Linked DNA regions of Macaca fascicularis. The protein of the gene in region 1 interacts with the protein of each later gene in a pairwise test. Links are inferred from orthologs where the notes say so. Each region holds a gene or a part of one and is shown on either strand. Other genes may lie near its edges.

Region 1 (10,108 bases):
GGGGGGGTATACTGAGCCTGGCACAGATTAGGCCAGTTGGCACTCAGATTATCAGATGGCTGGGCATTTCAGTCGGGGGAAGATTCTGGAGAGGCATCACGGTGTGCTGGTTGGGACATGCAAAAGAAAACTGGATACTCCCAGGTGTTAAAGGGGAACTGCCTGCTGGAGGGATGGGGAAGTGGGCCGAGGGGACTTTGAAGCTCGTCAGAACTTGGGGTAAAGGAGCTCTCTCCCCAACAGGGGAGACTTTGGCCGCTTTCTGTCTAACCGAGCCCTCAAGCGGGTCAGATGCAGCCTCCATCCGAACCTCTGCTGTGCCCAGCCCCTGTGGAAAATACTATACCCTCAATGGAAGCAAGCTTTGGATCAGGCAATCTGCCTCCCATTTCTCCCCTTATCCTCCACCCAATTCCAGGCCCCGCTGCTCCCCGTCCTCCATGCCCTGAATGTCCCTCATTCTTCCACAGTAATGGGGGCCTGGCAGACATCTTCACAGTCTTTGCCAAGACACCAGTTACAGATCCAGCCACGGGGGCGGTGAAGGAGAAGATCACAGCCTTTGTGGTGGAGAGGGGCTTCGGGGGTGTTACCCAGTGAGTGAATTTGGGTTGGGAGAGCTTAGGACTGAGGGGCAGGACTGGGTTCCTGGGCAGATGGCTGTTGCAAGTCACCCGGGGATGTGTGCAAAAGCCAAAGCAGGTGAACTGAATGTGGCCTTTGGGACTAATATGTATGCAACTGAGCTAAAGTTTTGGCTCCAGCAACCAAGTCCAACACAAAATAAGACATAGCCAGGCCTCCTTAGCCTTCAGGGCCGGGGGTAAGTGTTGGCTGTAGCCTCTAATAGTCTAGGAGTTGTAATTCCTCCCTAGTGCATAAAGAGCGAAGAAGCAGTTTTTCCCCACTGACAAGCTGTTGAACACACCTCTGCTTTCCCACATTGCCCTGACACAGTGGGCCCCCTGAGAAGAAGATGGGCATCAAGGCTTCAAACACAGCAGAGGTGTTTTTTGATGGAGTACGGGTGCCATCGGAGAATGTGCTGGGTGAGGTTGGGAGTGGCTTCAAGGTCGCCATGCACATCCTCAACAATGGAAGGTTTGGCATGGCTGCGGCCCTGGCAGGTACCATGAGAGGCATCATTACTAAGGCGGTGAGTACCCTGCCCAAGTCCCCAGGTAACCCAAACAGTAGTCTCACTGTCCCCCTTGCCATGTGTCCCTGATCACTTGCAGGCACTCCCTACACCAGAAACCCCTCCCCTACCAGCAGCCCCAGACTTGTGAGCTTAGGTCTCCATCCAGCGTAGACTGAACTCTGGTTGTATGCAAAGCCCATCCCTGTGGCGCAAGCCCAGCCCCTGTCTAGGGAGACTGCAGAACCACACTGAACCAAAGTGGAATACATGGACCCTCTTCCAGGTAGATTATGCCACTAATCGTATCCAGTTTGGGGAGAAAATTCACAACTTTGGGCTGATCCAGGAGAAGCTGGCCCGGATGGTTATGCTGCAGTATGTAACTGAGGTGAGGGCCTCCCAAGCTCCTCTCCCTGAAGCCCTGGGGCTTTCTTCCCAGTTGGGTCAGACTACAACCCCCAGCAGCACCTGGGGCAGTGGGTCTCCAGCTTTACACCAATGCCCTAGGGGATGCGGGGAGGCATAGTCAGCTCAGCTTCTGCCGAAGGAAAAGAGCAATGATGTTCTGCTCAGGTGCCTGCCAGCAGTACCAGAAGTTAATTCTACCCCATCCCTTACGTCCACCCCTTTTAAGAAAACAAATACTGCCCGGGCGCGATGGCTCACGCCTGTAATCCCAGCACTGTGGGAGGCTGAGGCGGGCGGATCACGAGGTCAGGAGATCGAGACCATCCTGGCTAACACAGTGAAACTCCGTCTCTACTAAAAATACAAAAAAATTAGCCGGGCGTAGTGGCAGGCGCCTGTAGTCCCAGCTACTCGGGAGGCTGAGGCAGGAGAATGGCGCGAACCCGAGAGGTGGAGCTTGCAGAGCTGAGATTGTGCCACTGCACCACCCCAGCCTGGGCAACAGAGCGAGACTATGGGAAAAAAAAAAAAAAAACAAATACCTGGAAGCGCCTGATGAACTGACCCAGAACAACTATTTGCCTGACCTAACAAGCTAGGTCATCCCTAATCTTGGAGATCTGGGTGATGAAGCCAAGTCTGACAAAGCCCTTTGCAATTTTCCTTCCCATGTCCCAACCATGCAACCTCAGTCCATGGCTTACATGGTGAGTGCTAACATGGACCAGGGATCAACGGACTTCCAGATAGAGGCCGCCATCAGCAAAATCTTCGGCTCGGTGAGGTCCCAGGCATGCTGGGAGGGAGTCCAGTTTGGGAGCTCAGCTCCCACAACCAGTCTCATCTGTTCTTTGTCCCTAGGAGGCAGCCTGGAAGGTGACAGATGAATGCATCCAAATCATGGGGGGTATGGGCTTCATGAAGGTACAGGACGGTCTTCTGAGCCTCGTTTGGGCCAGGGGTGGGTAGGCACATCTCAGCAGGGGCATATAATTTGTGTGGCCCTGTGCTAGGAACCTGGAGTAGAGCGTGTGCTCCGAGATCTTCGCATCTTCCGAATCTTTGAGGGGACAAATGACATCCTTCGGCTGTTTGTGGCTCTGCAGGGCTGTATGGTAAGAGGGAGAATTGGGTGGGGGTAGAGGTGGGGAGGACAGTGAGTCCTGACTGCTGGACCCTCTTCCCCATAGGACAAAGGAAAGGAGCTCTCTGGGCTTGGCAGTGCTCTAAAGAATCCCTTTGGGAATGCTGGCCTCCTGCTGGGAGAGGCAGGCAAACAGCTAAGGCGGTAGGCTTAGGGTCAGGGCCAGGGGAGGGCAGGGCAGTGTATGACAACTAACCAGTCATTCTCCCTCTTCCTCTCAGGCGGGCAGGGCTGGGCAGCGGCCTGAGTCTCAGTGGAATTGTCCACCCGGAGTTGAGTCGCAGCGGTGAGCTGGTAAGTGGCCAGGGGTCCAGGAGAGCCTGCGTCAGGGACTGTAGCCGACAGCCCCTCTGAGCCCTGCACTGTCCCCATCTCTTCAGGCAGTACAGGCTCTGGAGCAGTTTGCCACTGTGGTGGAGGCCAAGTTGATAAAACACAAGAAGGGGATTGTCAGTGAGTGAGCTCTACACCCTTCCGCCCCTCCCTTTCCTCTCCTTGAGACTAATGCCCCCACCCCCACCCCACCTACCCGGCAGATGAGCAGTTTCTGCTGCAGCGGCTGGCAGACGGGGCCATCGACCTCTATGCCATGGTGGTGGTTCTCTCGAGGTGAGGAGGCAGGCGGGGAATGCCTGAGCCGCAGGGGGCCTGGGCCTGGATCCCAGCCGGCCCAGATTTATTTTCATCTCCTGCTTCCTGCCAGGGCTTCAAGATCCCTGAGTGAGGGCCACCACACGGCCCAGCATGAGAAAATGCTCTGTGACACCTGGTGTATCGAGGTGAGACTCGGGGCTGCCAAGCTCAGGTGAGGGCTAGAGGTGCAGGCCCAACCCTCCTTCCCTCTCCCCAGGCTGCAGCCCGGATCCGAGAGGGCATGGCCGCCCTGCAGTCTGACCCCCGGCAGCATGAGCTCTACCGCAACTTCAAAAGCATCTCCAAGGCCTTGGTGGAGCGGGGTGGTGTGGTCACCAGCAACCCACTTGGCTTCTGAATACTCCTGGCCAGGGCCTGGCCCGGTTATGTGCCTTTCCTCAAGCCAAAGCCCCTCTCCTTAGGGCCCTGGTTTGTCCCGGAGGGGGCCTAGTATTCCCAGGACTGTGCCTGCTCTCAAGAGCACTTACTGCCTCGAAAATAATAAAAATTTCTAACCAGTCATGCTTTGCTCCTGTGTGTCCGTTCTTTCCCTCTGCTGCCTGCCTCCCTCCCAAAGAAAGGAGCCAGAGGCGTGGGGAGTTTGCCTCTATTGCTTTATTTGGTGTTTTATACAAGTGACTAAAATAAATAGAGTAACAAAGGCAGCTACATGGCCCAAATCTCCCAGCTTCCTCAGGCTGCTGTCTAGGGTGCCTAACCCCAGGGTACCACTGACCACCCCCAAACCTGCACAGGGCAAGGCTATGGGTAACTGGAGGAGGAGGTCACATTCTGGGGTTAGAAGGGGCCCAACGGACGGGATTTTTCATATAAAAGAGAAAATGCCTATTTAAAAAGTCCCAAAAATGTAAGAAACTCTATTTTAACCCCCAAAAAGACTTATTAAAAAAACAAAGCTAAAAATAATCAAAGGTCCCTTGTCTACCCGAGGGAAGGGGGAGGAACCAGGCACTGCTGGTGAGAGTCACAGTGGCCACAATCTCCTGTATGGCAGCAGCTGCTAGGCTGAGCCCAGGCACTGTAAGAGCAAGCACATGATGGCCAGGACAGCCAGTCACACACCAGGAGCGCCAGGCCAAGCCTGGCCCCACAGTGGGCTACATAACATCCACAAAGAACTCGCTGGGATTGCCCATGGCCATGTGGAAGCTTTGGCGGCTGGCTGTCAGTTCTGGCGGCACAGAGCCCAGGTCTCTGACTGGAGGGGCCCCCGGAGGCTGCACTGCTGGAGGGACTGGAGGTGGGGGTGGGGGCATCATGACCACCATCATGGGGTTGTAGGGGAGGGCCATGCCAGGGGGTGGTCCATAAGGATGGAGCCCCGAGTGGGCTCGGAGATTAGGGGCACCCCCAGCTGAGCCTCTGGATGGAGGAGGGCCCCCATCGCCAGTCCCACTTGGTTCCCCACCCCGCCGAAGGCTGCCCCCTCGGCTGGAGGGCTCGGACTCACTGCCACTGCCGGACTTGGACTCGGGGGCCCGCTCCTCGGGCCTCCCTGTGCGCCCTGCCCCCCCATCACTCCGGGTCGACCCACTGCTCCGGCTGCCTGTGGAGGGAGGGGAGGGGCAACTAAGTCCTCACCCAGGCTCCTCCCTGGCTCCCCTCTGATCCACCCTCAGACCCTGGCCGTACAGGTATGTGGGGATGACTTACCCTCACTGTGCTGGCTGCTGGCACTGCCCCCACCAAAGGTATAAGATGAAAGTTCATGGTACGGTGGGGGCTGCGGGCTGTAGGGGTGTGGGGCCGGGTATTGGTAGGAGAAAGTGGGCAGCAAGGGCCAGGGGGTGGCCCCAGGCAGAGGAGCCAGGGTGTCCTGGTCGGAAGCCCCACTGGAGCCATCGTTGTCATTGAGAGACAGGTTGACTAGGTCTGGAAAACAAGGGAAGTGAGGAAGAAATCACTGCTTCAAGAGGCTAAGGCCCCAAGACACGGAATGGAGAGCCCAGACCCACCCACGATGGGGCTCAAAACAGGGGTTCACAGGGGTCTCTTGACAGGAAACTCCCATCTACTTCTGCCATGAGGGCAGGGGCACAGCCAGGGCCACCACTAGCCCATGTCTTTGTGGGACTCAGGAGGATGTGCACCTTCCCCCGGTGGACACAGTCCTGCACCTGGCGCGTGGCTTGTCCAGCAGCGCATGGATGGATGCCAGCCACGATCCTCAGCCAATGCAGGACCTAGTGCGGGACACACGCTGCTCGACCATCCATCGTGGCCCTGGCTGCAGTTTCTGGGCTAGGTCTAGGGTTGGAGAGGCAGAACAAGGCAGGCAAAGCCACACTCCCAGAGTTGGGGCAGAGGGACTCACAGCTCTCACAGCCACCACTGAGGTCTCCGAAGACGTAATAGCACTGTTCAGAGAAGGTGATCTTGTTGACGGTGTGTCGGATCAGGCCCGCTTTGAGCAGCCCACTGGCATACTTGCGGGCCTCCCGCCGCTCAGGAAAGCCCTCCACGTGATGGTAGAGCCAGTCAACCACATCCGAGCCTGGGAGCATCCACAGTGGAAAAAGGCCTCAGGTTCTCCTTCCAACTCCTGCTCTCGCCTCTGCCTGTGCCACTCCCGGCTTTGGCTGCCTCCTCCTCCCTTTCTCCAGCCACCTGCCCAGGGCCCAGCCGTACCCAGAAAGGCATTAGGGATGGTGATCTTGAGCCACATGCGGTCCCGGACTTCCAGTCCAGACTCTGGAGCTGCCATGGCCTTGGTCACCGATGCCATGTCCGTATGGATGGAGAGACCCCGGCCCTCACAGCCTGGCAAAGGAGACCACAGGGAATGAGAGTCAGGGATCACTCCCACAAAGGCAATGGGTCAGACCACTGCAGGACAGCCTTCTGCTGGGAGGGTGGGATGCGGTGGGCTGGTGGCTCACCATCAGGCAAAGAGGATCCAGATGTAATGGTGCTCATGGAGGAGGAGCCCGGATAGGCTGGGAAGGTGCCAGTCAGAGCCGCAGAGTGGGACACCCAGGCAGCAGGGTCAATTGGCTGGATGGGCTCATCTGGGACAGAGATGGCACCAAAATGACCCATTCTCAGTCCCCAAAAGCCAGCCCAGTCCCTCCCTGACTCAGCCTCCTGTTCCACCTCTGCCTGGACCCTCCTCCCACCCACTCCCCATGACCAGAGGTCCAGCCCCAGCCTCCTGGCCAGCCCCCACCCCCAACTTCAGGCCCCCTCCCTGAGTGTCACTCACTTCTCGGGAGAGTGAAATAGGCCTGAGGAGAGGGATCCCAGCACTTGGCCACAGTCAGCACAATGGGGCTACGGGGAAGAGAAGTCCAGTCAAGGGCGCAGGGGAAGAGGAGGCCTCAGGAGAGTGGGGGCCTGAAGCAAGGATGGATTAAGAGACACAAAGAGAAGGAGAAGCAAGCACATCGCGGCTGGGCTGGAGAAGGTGAGGGTGGAAGGCACCACAATGCGGATGACTCATCAACATGGAAAACTCTTAAAAACATACTGCCAAATGAGACAAGAGAGTACACGCTGTACAATTCCATTCACAGAAAGACCAAAAACAGGTAAAATGAAACCGTGCTGTTCAAGGATACATGCAAGAATGGTAACTATCGAGTGAGGCAAAGCTCTCCTCTGTTATGGTGATAGCCAAAGAAGTCAGGAGAGTGACCACCCCTGGGGGAGGGAGGCATTTGGGAGCAGGAAGGGACATCTGGGGAGGAAGTTCTAGAATATCAGCAATCTCCTATTTGATGGTCTAAGTGGCAGTGACATGGATATTCACTCTAGTATTGATACGTCACACATTTGTTTCACGTACTTTCAATGTTATGTCTCAGCACTTTTTTTTTTTTTTTGAGATGGGAGTCTCGCTCTGTCGCTCAGGTTGGAGTGCAGCGGTGTGATCTCGGTTCACTGCAACCTCCGCCCCCTGGGGTTCAAGTGATTCTCCTGTCTCAGCCTCCTCACTAGCTGGGACTACAGGCGTGCGCCACCACACCCACTTAATTTTTGTATTTTTAGTAGAGACAGGGTTTCACCATGTTGGTCAGGCTGGTCTCGAACTCCTGACCTCTGGTGATCCACCCATCTCGGACTCCCAAAGTTCTGGGATTACAGGCATGAGCCACCACGCCTTACTACTTATTAAAATTGCAAAACAAAACATAAAAGAGAAAAAAAGAGAACTGAGGACCTGCAACCTGCTTGGCAACTTACCCAGGCTTGTGCACAATGTCCCTCAGCACCCGCACGGCGTCATCATTGCTCATGTTCTCAAAGTTCATGTCATTCACCTGGAAGCAGGGGAAGTGGGTCAGAGGCATGGTGGGAGAGGCTGAGGGCTCCCGTGCAGGGCAGCTCGGTGGCCACACCCCAGCACACCTGCAAAAGCATGTCCCCTGGCTCAATGCGTCCGTCGGCCGCCACAGCCCCACCCTTCATGATGGAGCCAATGTAGATGCCTCCGTCTCCCCGCTCATTGCTTTGGCCCACAATGGAGATACCCAGGAAGTTGTACTTCTCTGTGGAGAGAGGCCATGTGAGGAGAGGAGGCCCCCGCGGCAGGACCCCCAGAACCCTAGAGAGAGAGGCCATGTGAGGAGAGGAGCCCCAGCCGCAGGACCCTTGGAACCCTAGAGACCAGGCCCTCCCCACGCCCTAGCCACAGGCTCTCCCCATACCCATGTTTAGCGTGACTGTGATGATATTGAGAGACATGGTGGAATCTGTGACGCTGCTGAAGGACGATGTCTGTGGTGGGAAAAGAAGGAGCTAGAGTGCCCTTCAATGACCCAGGGTCAACCCTGGGGTGCTGCCAGTGTCCAGGCACCACCCAAACCAAAGCCTATGCCCCACCTTCTCCCAGCACCAGCCTTCCCGTGGGAACCCCTCACCCTCTCCAGGCGGGGTGGCCGCTGCTTCCTCCGCCGTCGGTGGCGCTTAAGGAGGCGGGAGGCACTGCTCTGCTCCGTGGAGCTGCTGAACCTGCCAGGAGGTTGGAAGGAGAGCAAACGTAGGCCAAAGTGGTCATGGGGCCAAGAGAAAGAACCAGAGGATTGACTGGAGGAGAAGAAAGGGGGCTGGGTGCGCTGGGGAGAGCTGTGCGGAGCCACACCTGCTCATGGTGTCCTCCTCGTCAGAGTCCCCCAGGCTGGTACTCTCCAGCTCACTGGTCATGAGGGTAGAGGAGCTCTCATATCCCGCCAGGTGGCGCTCCAGCCTTGAGGGGCCACCAGTCCTGTGGCCCCCAGCTGCATATGGACAGGAAGCTCAGGAACCAAACTTCCCCCTGCTCACCCCACCAAGGCTGGGGTCTGGCCCAGCCCTTCCCAGCCCCCAGGCCTGCCCCTCACCGCCATGCTCACTGCTGTCTCTCCTGCGAGGCCGCTCCCGCCTCAGTGACACTACTGACTCGGTTTCTGTCTCAGGCTCCAGATTCTCATGGCTGCTGGACACATTAGGGCTGGACAGGCAGAGATGGTTTCCAATCCATATCAGGAGAACAGGGTTCCGGATCCCAGGCGTACCCTACCAAAAGGCCTGGGTTCCCTCCTCACCTCCCTCCCTCGAAGTCAAGAATCAGAAGGACTCACTGAAAGGATGGAGGCCTTGAGTCCCCAATGCCGCTGGTCCTCTCGGGTGGCAAAGGGGGTAAAGGTGGGGCTGGAGGCGCCAGTTCTGCCCGAGGCTCGTGGGCTGGAGGAGCCATCTCGGGTTGGGGATTATCTGAGGACACCAGCTAGAAGGGTGCAAACAATAAACAGTGGCGCTCAGCTGGGAGTCGGGGTGTGACAGGTTGCAGTAAGTGAAAGAACGAAAAAGGGTCTCAGAGAGCTGGAGAAGAGCAAAATAACCTAGCAAGTATTAGAGACTCCAGAAGGAGAAGGCTGAGGGCCTCTCACTGGCTCTCCAAACAGATAAGAGGTAAAGAGCCAGGGCTGCTAATACCTGGCCTGGGAGAGGGCTACAGAAACGGACTGAGGCCTGGGGAAGCTTGGAAATGCAGAGGGGACCCAGCCCTCGGCGTCTGCACCTCTTACCCAGGATACCACCCTTCCGTTGAAGCAGGGGAGGCGGGCGTTGTCATCTGAAATTTCTTCCTTCACCACTCTGCCAAGAGACAAGGTGGAGGTCAGTGAGCTGGACCAACCACCCCCACCCCCACCCCCATCAAAGTTCCTCCCAATCTTCACCGGGCTCCAGGATGCTGACTTTCTCCCGCCCTGTTCAGGTCTTCTCTTACATTGAAAAAACTCACTCTGACACCTAAGAAATCTCCAAACTCAATCCCCTTTCCTTATTTCTCCTCTCCCTAACGCACCCTCAGGGGCGTAGTGCTGCTCCAAAGACTTGACTGAGTCTGATTCAAACCTCTCAGTACAATTTCAAAGGCAATCCCCTATGCTGATGCAGCTGCCTAAGATACCTATCTAATGAGACTGGCTGGTAGCCTCCTCTCAAGCCCATCCCTGTTCCTTACAAACCTTCCAAAAAGGCCGGGCACGGTGGCTCATGCCTGTAATGCTAAAACTTTGGGAGGCTGAGGTGGGCGGATCACCTGAGGTCAGGAGTTCAAGACCAGCCTGGCCAACATGGTGAAACCTCGTCTCTACTAAAATATAAAAATTAGCCAGGCATGATGGTGGGTGCCTATAATCCCAGCTACTCAGGAGACTGAGACGGGAGAGTTGCTTGAACCCAGGAGACAGTGGTTGCAGTGAGCCAAGACTGTGCCACTGCACTCCAGCCTGGGCGGCTGAGCAAGAATCTGTCTCAAAAAAAAAAAAAAAAAAAAA
Region 2 (10,224 bases), on another chromosome or scaffold:
TTATTTGACTATACACTGATAATAATTAGATATAATTCTTAGAGTTTGCACTAATCCTTATTTATGCTTCTTTGATAGTCCTTTAGTGAAGAAGATTCATTTAAAAAATGTTCATCCGAAGTTGAAGCTAAAAATAAGATTGAAGAACTACTTGCTAGTCTTTTAAACAGGTGATTTTCAATCCATTTTGCCAAGTCATCCTATATATTCATTCTGTATACGGTATATAGAAAGAATATTTGATGTTCCATCTTGGAACTGACAAATTATCTGGAGAGTAAACAATGTAAAAATAATTTATCATGTGATTTCTCTGCATTATAAACTATTGTAAAGATGGTAATAGGGGCTCTTACCTAAATTTAATTCATTGGTCTTAATTCTAGTAACAGTGTGGTTGTCCTATGGATCTAAAGCTGCAGATGGTTACCTAAAGGGGTTTTATGGATATTTCTAACATTCTTAGACTTACTCTAGTCTTCAGGTGAGAAGAAGAAGTTTTAATTTTTCCCTGTGGCAATTGCAAAGCCTTTGCCCTCAACCTAATAGTTACTTGAATTTCATTAAGTTAGTACCATGCTAAATACAAATACATGCGAAATACAAAACGTGTGAAATTAACCATTTATCTCTGCTAATAGTTACTTGCATTTCATTAAGAAGAAAAAAATGCAAAGAGGAATAATACTGTCATAATTCTAAAACTCCTGATACAGGAACAGCTATATAAATTTGTGATTGTTGGGGATAGGAAATTATTAAAGTAACAGTGAAGGAAGAAGCAGAAGAACCCTTGTATCTCTTTTGCCTCAGACTGTAAAATAAAATAGAGTCGAAGGAGAAAGAATGGCTGGCTGGGGCTATGTGTGAGCAGGGTGAGTGACTGCAGGTGTGTGCAGGGTTTCTGATCTGTATGTGAAGAGTATCACCTGGGGTTATAAATATATGAGTAGCACAAGATAAACTGAAAAGGAAATTTAATTTTGTGGTGCTCCTTGTCATTATACATGTATTTCTCACTATTCATATTCCACAAACAAGTATTATCTGTTTTCTTCCCATTCTTTGTTTCTGCTTCTCTTGTTAGAAATTTCTCAAATTGTGGTTTCAGGGCTCTAACAGTTTAGAGTAGGTGTGCTTCTCCAATGATTCTAGGAGGACTAACTGTATTTAGAGAAAATGGTTTTTGGATGGTTCTAAGTCTGAGAAAACTGATGAAGTGAAATTTCCTCCAACTTTGCTGTTGTATGCAACGTGGCACTCAAATGTCTTGAGCAGAGCCATGTAGCTCATTGTTGGCTGCATGCAGCTGGGGCTGGCTGTATGACTGGGCTTCAGTGATATGACTCAGGCTGGGCCTGCGCGTATGCTAGTGAAACTGGGTCATTTGCTTCAGCTAAATAGAAGACTACTCTGAAATGCCTAACATTTGGAGACAGTTCTTCACGTAGAAAAACCGCAAGAAGTGTAAGTTTTACAGGTTCTCTTATTTGAAGAGTCAACCCAGAAGTGAGACCAGGTGCTCTAAACCTGTGAAATACAAAACCTGTGAAATTAACCATTTATCTGTATCTCTGCTTGCCAGCTCCTTTTCTCCCACACCACGGGCCCTTATTTCAGTGACTGAATTATAACACCATCTAAGTGACTTGCAAAAAAAAAATTACAGGAGTGTCTGTGTGTATTTGTGTATAATTACTTTTGTTTTCTCTAGAGTATGTTATGATTAATACTATAGGTATGTAAGAAATGTAAAAACCATATTATTTTTAATCCATCCTCTAGGCACTAGTTTAATATTGCTTATGATTCAGCCTTTTTCTAATGTGTCTTAATTAGCATATCATACTCTTTGAATTGCATAATTAATAGAACACGTTTAACTGGAAGATATTTAAACTAGTAGCCATTTAAGGTATTTTATTATCCTAGTTAAGCAGCCATCGAGAAGTTTTGTCACAAAGCAATAAGAGATAGAAAAAATTTATTTAATACAGAACTATTTTATTTTTTATTTTTTTGCGATAGGGTCTTGCTCTGTCACCCAGGCTGGAATGCAATAGTGCAATCATGGCTCACTGCAGCCTCAGCCTCCTGGGCTCAAGCAGTCCTCCCACCTCAGCCTCCAGAATAGCTGGGAAAGCACCTGCCATAAAGCCTAGCTAATTTTTAAATTTTTGTAGATGAGGTCTCGCTATGTTGCCCAGGCTGGTCTTGAACTCCTGGGCTCAAGTGATCCTCCTACCTGAACTTCCCAAAGTGTTGAGATTACAGGTATAAGCCACCGTGCCTGGCCCAAAACTGTTTTTTTCAGATCAGAGTCTTCAAGTTGAGTGTGTTTAACAATATGCAATATTTGCATTTTATGTCTGAGATTTGGTTTTATATGCGTTGCCATGTGTATAAAAGGGGAAATGTTATCCTTTAATGACTTTTTTTCCATTAATTAGGTTTTGTACTTCTTAAGTGAATTTGTCATATAATTAAAACCTTTGTTTCAATACCAAAACCAAGACAATTGGATGAAACTCTTTTTAAAAATGCATGTGCACATATTGTATATTAATTATATACTAAATATAGCATATGATCTTTGAAGATATTGCTCTAATAAGCTATCATATAATGGTAATAGTGATTACTCTTTAACAAGAGTAATCTCATTTTGTAAAAAAAAAAATCTTTTTTTTGGTAATCTCATAAGAAAAAAGTTTGAAAAAAGTTATTTTGTTATTTTTCACTTACTTGCTTTTGTTAGTGAATGATTCAGTTTCTTAAATTTCCTGCTGATTTTAATTTGCTGCCTTTTGGCTAGGTGTGGTGACTTACGTCTGTAATCCCAGCATTTTGGGAGGCTGAGGTGGGGGATCACCTGAGGTCAGGAGTTCGAGAGCAGCCTGGCCAACATGGCAAAACCACCTCTCTACTAAAAATACAAAAATTAGCCAGGTGTGGTCACACGTGCCTGTAGTCCAAGCTACTCAGGAGGTTGAGGCAGGAAAACTGCTTGAACCTGGGAATTGGAGGTTGCAGTGAGCTGAGATTGTGCCACTACACTCCAGCCTGGGCAACAGAGCGAGATTCCATCTTGAAAAAAAAAATTGGTTGCTTTTAGTTTTGTTTTGAATTTGTATTATAAAACAACTTGTTTTGATTATATCTTATATCTCTTCTATTTCTGACAGCACTCAATTCTGAGTGAGGCCTGAGAGCTTGACATCTAAACATTCAGAGTTTTAGTGCATAGACTTTGTGATGATTATTTGGATACTCAGGGACCTTTATTGCTTACTATTTTGTTATCTACTATATGTATAATTGTTATATTTAACAAAATCTGGCACCTTTAGATAAATGAGGTGTTATATAATTTAAAAAGGTAATACTTTTCTAATTCCTTATTTCCACTTTCTCTTTATTTTTAGAGTATGCCAAGATGGAAGGAAGCCTCATACAGTAAGATTAATAATCCGTCGATATCCCTCTGAGAAGCACTGTGGTCGTGAGAGTCGTCAGTGCCCTATTCCATCACATATAATTCAGAAGTTAGGGACAGGTATGGACTAGTTTTCCAACAGTTTCATTAGCAGGTTGAACTCTTAAACAAGCCAACTTTGAACTAGAAATATGCTCCAAAAATGGAGGGTCTTCACAGGGAATTAGCAAGCAATTAAATGCTTTTATTCTATCAGGAATTTTCACCAGAAAACTTTGTTGTTTGTTTGTTTGTTTATTTATTTATTTTTTGAGACAGGGTCTTGCTCTGCACGAAGGCTGAAGTGCAGTGGTGCTGTGATAGCTCACTGCAGCCTTCGTCTCCCCGGCTCAAACAATTCTTCTACCCCAGCCTCCCGGGTAGCTGGGACCGTAGGTGCATGCTACCAGACCTGGCTAACTTTTTTTGACATTTAGGATAGACAAGGTCTCAAACTCCTGAGCTCAAGCAATCTTTCTGCCTCAGCCTCCCACAGTGCTCGGATTATGGGCATGAACCACTGGACCTGGCCTGGTTTTTAAATAGATAAGAGTCATTTAAGAATGTTTTCCAAGTTCAAAGAGAACAAAACTGTGATAACTGATAGCATGAGTCTTTATGGGCATTTAGATTGTTTCCATTTTGAAGAACATTTAAGTGCAAGTCATTGGATGGGCATATGCATATGTTTTCCTTTATCTTGGGTAGATTTTAAGGAGTGGAATTGCTGGATCATATGGGAACATGAACTGTTTAAGAAACTGCCAACTTTTTCCAAAGTTCATGTAATAATTTACATTTTCATCAACAATATATGAAGGTTCCAGTTTTTCATATTTTTGCCAATATTTGTATTGTCAGTCTCTTCGATTATAGTTGTTCTAGCGGTATATAGTAGTGTGGTTTTTCTTTTATGGATAGTGTTTTTGGTGTTATATGTAAAAATTCTTTGCCTAACTCAGAGGTCACATATTCTGTTTTCTTTTAGAAGTTTTATAGTTTTTAAGCTTTATGTTTATGTCCATTTTGAGTTAATTTTTTATGTGTGGTATATGGTAAGGGACTTAATTCTTTGCTTTGCATGTGGGTATCCAGTTGTTCCTGCATCATTTGTTGAAGATTTTTCTTCACCCACTGAATTACCATGGCATCTTTGTCAAAAATTAATTGACCATAAATGTAAGAGTTTATTTCCTGACTTTCTTGTTTCATTGGTCTATATGTTTATCCTTACACCGATTCCACCCTATGATGGTCTCTGCTGCTCTGTTTATTTTTCTGCAATCTTTTTTTTCTGTTCTTTCTTACAAAGTAGATAATCTGTATTGAGCTGCCTTTAAGGTCTCTGATTCATCTGTATCTCATAACTGCCATTGCCCCTGTAGTGATTTGTTGGTTTTGGTTACTGTGCTTTTTAACTCTAGAATTTCTGTTTGTCTTTTGTTTTTATGTTTGGTTTTGTTTCTTTATCGAGATTCTCCTTTTTTTGTACTCATTATATTTTGCTTTAATTCTTTAAACATGGTTGTCTTTAATTCTTTGGATATATCTATAATAATGAATTTGAAGTCTTTGCTAAGTCCACCTCAAAGTCAATTTATGTTAACTGCTTTTTCCCCCAAATATGTATCACACTTTCCTGTTTCTTTGCATGTTTTGAACTATTTTATTGAAAACTAGACCTCATAGATAATGTATTGTAGCAACTGTGGATTTAAAATTTTTTCTTGTAGGGTTTTTTTTTTCTTTCCTGTACTTTTTTTTAGGTAACTTGTCTGAACGTAATCTGCAGAATCTACCTCCCCTGGGTTCTGTAGCCACTGATTTCTCTGCTCAGTGTTCTTTTTTTTTTTTTTTTTTTTTAATTCAAATTTTTATTTTAATATGGACTTCTGGGAAGTTGCCCATGTCTGTATAGTTTCATGGTTAGCCAATGTTTGGCAAAGGTTCTGCTCAAACACTACAGTCTGGAAGCTGTCTGCCTCTGCCAGTGGATAAGTGTATGGGTTGGAAAGGACTTAAAATATTTAGGCCATTTTCCCATACTGCCCAAAGTAATTTATAGATTTAGTGCTATCCCCATCAAGCTACCACTGACTTTCTTCACAGAATTGGAAAAAAATACTTTAAATTTCATATGGAACCAAAAAAGCCCACATAGCCAACACAATCCTAAGCAAAAAGAACAAAGCTGGAGGCATCACACTACCTTACTTCAAATTATACTGCAAGGCTACAGTAACCAAAACAGCATGGTGCTGGTACCAAAACAGATGTATAGACCAATGGAACAGAACAGAGGCCTCAGAAATAACCACACATCTACAACTATCTGATGATCTTTGACAAACCTGACAAAAACAAGAAATGGAGAAAGGATTCCCTATATAATAAATGGTGCTGGGAAAACTGGCTAGCCTTATGTAGAAAGCTAAAACTGGATCCCTTCCTTACACCTTACACAAAATTTAACTCAAGATGGATTAAAGACTTAAATGTTAGACCTGAAATCATAAAAACCCTAGAAGAAAACCTAGACAATACCATTCAGGACATAAGCATGGGCAAAGACCTCATTGACTAAAACACTGAAAGCAATGGCAGCAAAAGCCAAAATTGACAAATGGAATCTAATTAAACTAAAGAGCTTCTGCACAGCAAAAGAAACTATCAACAGAGTGAACAGGCAAACTACAGAATGGGAGAAAATTTTTGCAATCTATCCATCTGACAAAGGGCTAATATCCAGAATCTACAAAAAAGTTAAACAGATTTACAAAAAAAAAGCAAACAACCCCATCAACAAGTGGGCCAAGGATACGAACAGACACTTCCCAAAAGAAGACATTTATGCAGCCAACAGACACATGAAAAAATGCTCATCATCACTGGTCATTAGAGAAATGCAAATCAAAACCACAATGAGATACCACCTCATGCCAGTTAGAATGCCGATTATTAAAAAGTCAGGAAATAACAGATGCTGGAGAAATAGGAATGCTTTTACACTGTCGGTGGGAGTGTAAATTAGTTCAACCATTGTGGAGGACAGTGTAGCGATTCCTCAAGGATCTAGAACTAGAAATTCCATTTGACCCAGCCATCCCATTACTGGGTATATACCCAAAGGATTATAAATCATGCTGCTATAAAGACACATGCACGTGTATGTTTATTGCGGCACTATTCACAATAGCAAAGGCTTGGAACCAACCCAAATATCCATCAGTAATAGACTGGATAAAGAAAATGTGGCACATACACACTATGGAATACTATGCAGCCGTAAGAAAGGATGAGTTCATGTTCTTTGCAGGGACATGAATGAAGCTGGAAACCATCATTCTCAGAAAACTATCACAAGGATAGAAAACCAAACACCACATGTTCTCACTCATAAGTGGGAGTTGAACAATGAGGACACATGGACACAGGGAGGGGAACATCACACACCGGGGCCTATTGGGGGGTGGGGAGCTGAGGGAGGGATAGCATTAGGAGAAATACCTAATGTAAATGGTGAGTTGATAGGTGCAGCAAACCAACAGGGCACATGTATACCTATGTAACAAACCTACACATTGTGCACATGTACCCCAGAACTTAAAGTATAAAAGAAAAAAAATTAGGCCATTTTCAAGTTTTTCTTGAATTTTAATTTCTTCTAGGCCCCCTTTATCTCCCCGTGACATGCATGTAGCCGTTTCAATGAGTGTATGGAGAGCTTAGGCCCTCTGTGGCCTTCCGTTTATTTTCATGTAGCCTCCTAGTCAGCTAAGGGTGTGAGGGGAGCCTATGTAGTCCCTCTTTGGTTCTCTCATTTCCAAATCTCCTGGTGACATTTCTGGCTGGTCCACTGATCTGTCATTCATCCCAACCACAACTAAAGCCTCAGACTAGCAGAGCTGTGGGATCTTCCCATTCATTTCCTATCAAGTTTGCTCATTTTACTGGCAATGTTGCTAAGTGTGGGCTTTTGCCCTCTGCCTCAAATCAGGTCTGTCTCCTCTAGAAGTGAAACTGCTGACTTTTGCAGCCTTCACCCTGTACCAACTGAGGTATGTAAAGGGACATTCGAACGGTCCCAGACAATGAAGTCCCAGACAAAGTCTCCTACTTTGTTAGCTAACATATAGCAGCTGTTCATAAATCAGTACTTCTTACTTTGTTTGCCTTTGGTTCATTTTCAGATTTCCACCAAAATGATTGTTTTTGACAATGTTCAGTTTTATAGTAGCTTTTTGAGAGTGGATTTTCTGACCATATCACTGTACTATAACCAGAAATACCATATTTCAAATCTTTTGAAAAATTTTAACCATTTGGTATTAATGTTGAAATGTCTTAATTTGTTATATAATGTCAAGATGCCCAGTGATACTTATTTAGGATTTTAATTTCTTAATCTCAGCAATATAAAATATATTATGCTCTTAATATTAATTATGTTTATTATCTTCTTAACATTTTATTTAGGAAATTATGATGTGATGACCCCAATGGTTGATATACTAATGAAACTTTTTCGAAATATGGTGAATGTGAAGATGCCATTTCACCTTACCCTTCTAAGTGTGTGCTTCTGCAACCTTAAAGCAGTAAATACTGCTAAGAGAGGGCTTATTGATTATTATTTAACGCCATCATTATCAACAACTTCATGCTCTGGCAAGCACAGTTTTGTAAGTATACTCTTTTTTGTTCAGTTTTCTAAGTATACCCTTATGGGATTTGTGTGGTTAAATTACAAATCTAAGTGCTTGTCTTTTTGATAGAGTTTAGAGATTCTTTTGGGTGATATTGTTTAGGTAATTAACTTGTTTACAATACCTATCTTACGGTTGCTGGCCTTAAATATACTGTGATCTAAGAAGAAAACATAAGCATCACTGGATAAAAGAGAGAACCATTATGGAGGTTCTCTATTTTGGAATTGTTAACACATTTTATAAAAATATGTGCTCTATAAAAATATGATGGATTAGCTCATAAGTATTAAAATATTTTCAGGTATTAGAAGTCACATCTTTTTGTCTTTTAGCTGACATATGAGTTACCAGTACCTTTCCCACGATTCTTTTGTTAAAGTATTTACATTTTCTTGGTTTTGAAATAGTAGTGAATTTTGATAGCGATATTGATAGAATTGACTACTGATTTTACAGTTGTAAAGTTAACAGTGTGACAATAGAAAGGCAGAGGCCAGTCATATTTTCAGACGACTAAAACAAAACCCCTTTACTAATAGACCACTATTTAGTAAATGTGGGTTACCTTAAAAATAATTATTTTTTACTAAATTGTTCATGCCTATAATTAACTCAATTTAAAATACTTTTTTGTTTGTTTTGTCAGTATAATTTTAGTAACCTTTTCATTTTCATTTAAGTTTAAAGTGAGAACAGTATAGTGTATGCAAATAGTGAATTAATGGTGTCTTCAAATTACTTTTTTCTGTGACCCTTTTTATTCCATCTATTAAATTTGAAAAAGTGTTTTCTGTTTACATTTTATTCGGTGAAATTGGAATTAAAAGTGCTCACTTATAGTGGCATTAGAGAAGTAAATATAAGTGAAAGTACCTTGTATATGTTTGTCACACAGTAGGTATTCAATAAATATAAGGGCCTGAATCTTTTCTACTCCTTTTACTTTTTTGGAGTTCATATTGTGTTGATGTTTACTGAGTTATATTTGACTATGTTTATATTTTTATGCTGCTTAAAACTAGAGGAGACATTTAAATGAAAAACTATAGGAAAATTACACAAGTTAGAGTTGAAAATGTCTTTAAATTTTTATATAAATATAAACTCGTATTATATCTTGATGATGTTGGGTTTTTGTTATAGACTTTTTTATCTTTTTGTTAAAAGTTACCCTTTAGAATAATAATTTTTGGAAAACTAGCCCTTGATGCTGTATGTGTATGTTTTTCTGAAAAATAGCCTTAGGTGAACTTGTGTTCTCTAGGCCACCATTCTTGTATTTATAGAATTGAAAGTTTGCTTGCATGATTGTTACACTCTTCCCAGGTCTCCAAATGCATGTTTACCTCTGTCTCGGTGCTATCTAGGAAGGAAACCTCTTCCTGGAATAGTGGGTAAAGATTCACAAAATAGTGTGACTAATTGTGGTAGTAGATCTCTAGTTATTTGGAACAGACCACAAAGAGTTGAATTTGCTGAGTAGGTTAGAAACATGTCAGATAATAGCTACAGGCACATAGCAGCAGCAGGGATATTTAAAACATATCAGATATCTAAATTAATCTGTTATTCTTGTGTTCTAGAAAATGAAAGACACTCATATGGAAGATTTTCCCAAAGACAAAGAAACAAACTGGGATTTCTTACCAAGTGGAAGAATTGAAAGTACAAGCACTAGGGAGTATCCACTAGATACCACAAATTTTTCTAAAAGAAAAGATATTAATGAATTCCCACTCTGTTCACTTCCTGAAGGTGTTGATCAAGAAGTCTTTAAGCAGCTTCCAACAGATATTCAAGAAGAAATCCTTTCTGGAAAATCTAGGGAAAAATTTCAAGGGAAAGGAAGTGTGAGTTGTCCATTACATGCCTCTAGAGGAGTATTATCTTTCTTTTCTAAAAAACAAATGCAAGATATTCCCATAAATCCTAGAGATCATTTATCCAGTCGCAAACAGGTATCCTCTGTATCTCCTTGTGAACCAGGAACATCAGGCTTAAATAGCGGTAGTTCTTCTTATATGTCTAGCCAAAAGGATT

What was found.
Region 2: the proteins of DVL2 (region 1) and POLI interact in a two-hybrid assay, tested with the Homo sapiens proteins (2 studies listed by BioGRID and IntAct). The two-hybrid records come from large-scale screens. The link is inferred for Macaca fascicularis from reciprocal best matches to the Homo sapiens genes DVL2 and POLI.

What each region holds. Positions count from the first base shown.
Region 1 is NC_088390.1:7,270,692-7,280,799, forward strand, and holds the end of DVL2 (segment polarity protein dishevelled homolog DVL-2), read right to left. Parts: intron 9,423-10,108; coding exon 9,353-9,422; intron 9,052-9,352; coding exon 8,906-9,051; intron 8,776-8,905; coding exon 8,666-8,775; intron 8,564-8,665; coding exon 8,428-8,563; intron 8,298-8,427; coding exon 8,207-8,297; intron 8,064-8,206; coding exon 7,994-8,063; intron 7,835-7,993; coding exon 7,695-7,834; intron 7,607-7,694; coding exon 7,530-7,606; intron 6,618-7,529; coding exon 6,550-6,617; intron 6,356-6,549; coding exon 6,227-6,355; intron 6,108-6,226; coding exon 5,976-6,107; intron 5,842-5,975; coding exon 5,662-5,841; intron 5,220-5,661; coding exon 5,001-5,219; intron 4,894-5,000; coding exon 4,445-4,893; 3' UTR 3,924-4,444; downstream 1-3,923. Other genes in the region: ACADVL (very long-chain specific acyl-CoA dehydrogenase, mitochondrial), read left to right, coding at 244-373, 471-596, 958-1,156, 1,425-1,529, 2,242-2,328, 2,411-2,473, 2,563-2,664, 2,740-2,837 and 5 more.
Region 2 is NC_088392.1:35,308,564-35,318,787, reverse strand, and holds part of POLI (DNA polymerase iota), read left to right. Parts: intron 1-78; coding exon 79-170; intron 171-3,425; coding exon 3,426-3,556; intron 3,557-7,951; coding exon 7,952-8,157; intron 8,158-9,767; coding exon 9,768-10,224. UniProt on the Homo sapiens protein: Error-prone DNA polymerase specifically involved in DNA repair. Plays an important role in translesion synthesis, where the normal high-fidelity DNA polymerases cannot proceed and DNA synthesis stalls. Favors Hoogsteen base-pairing in the active site.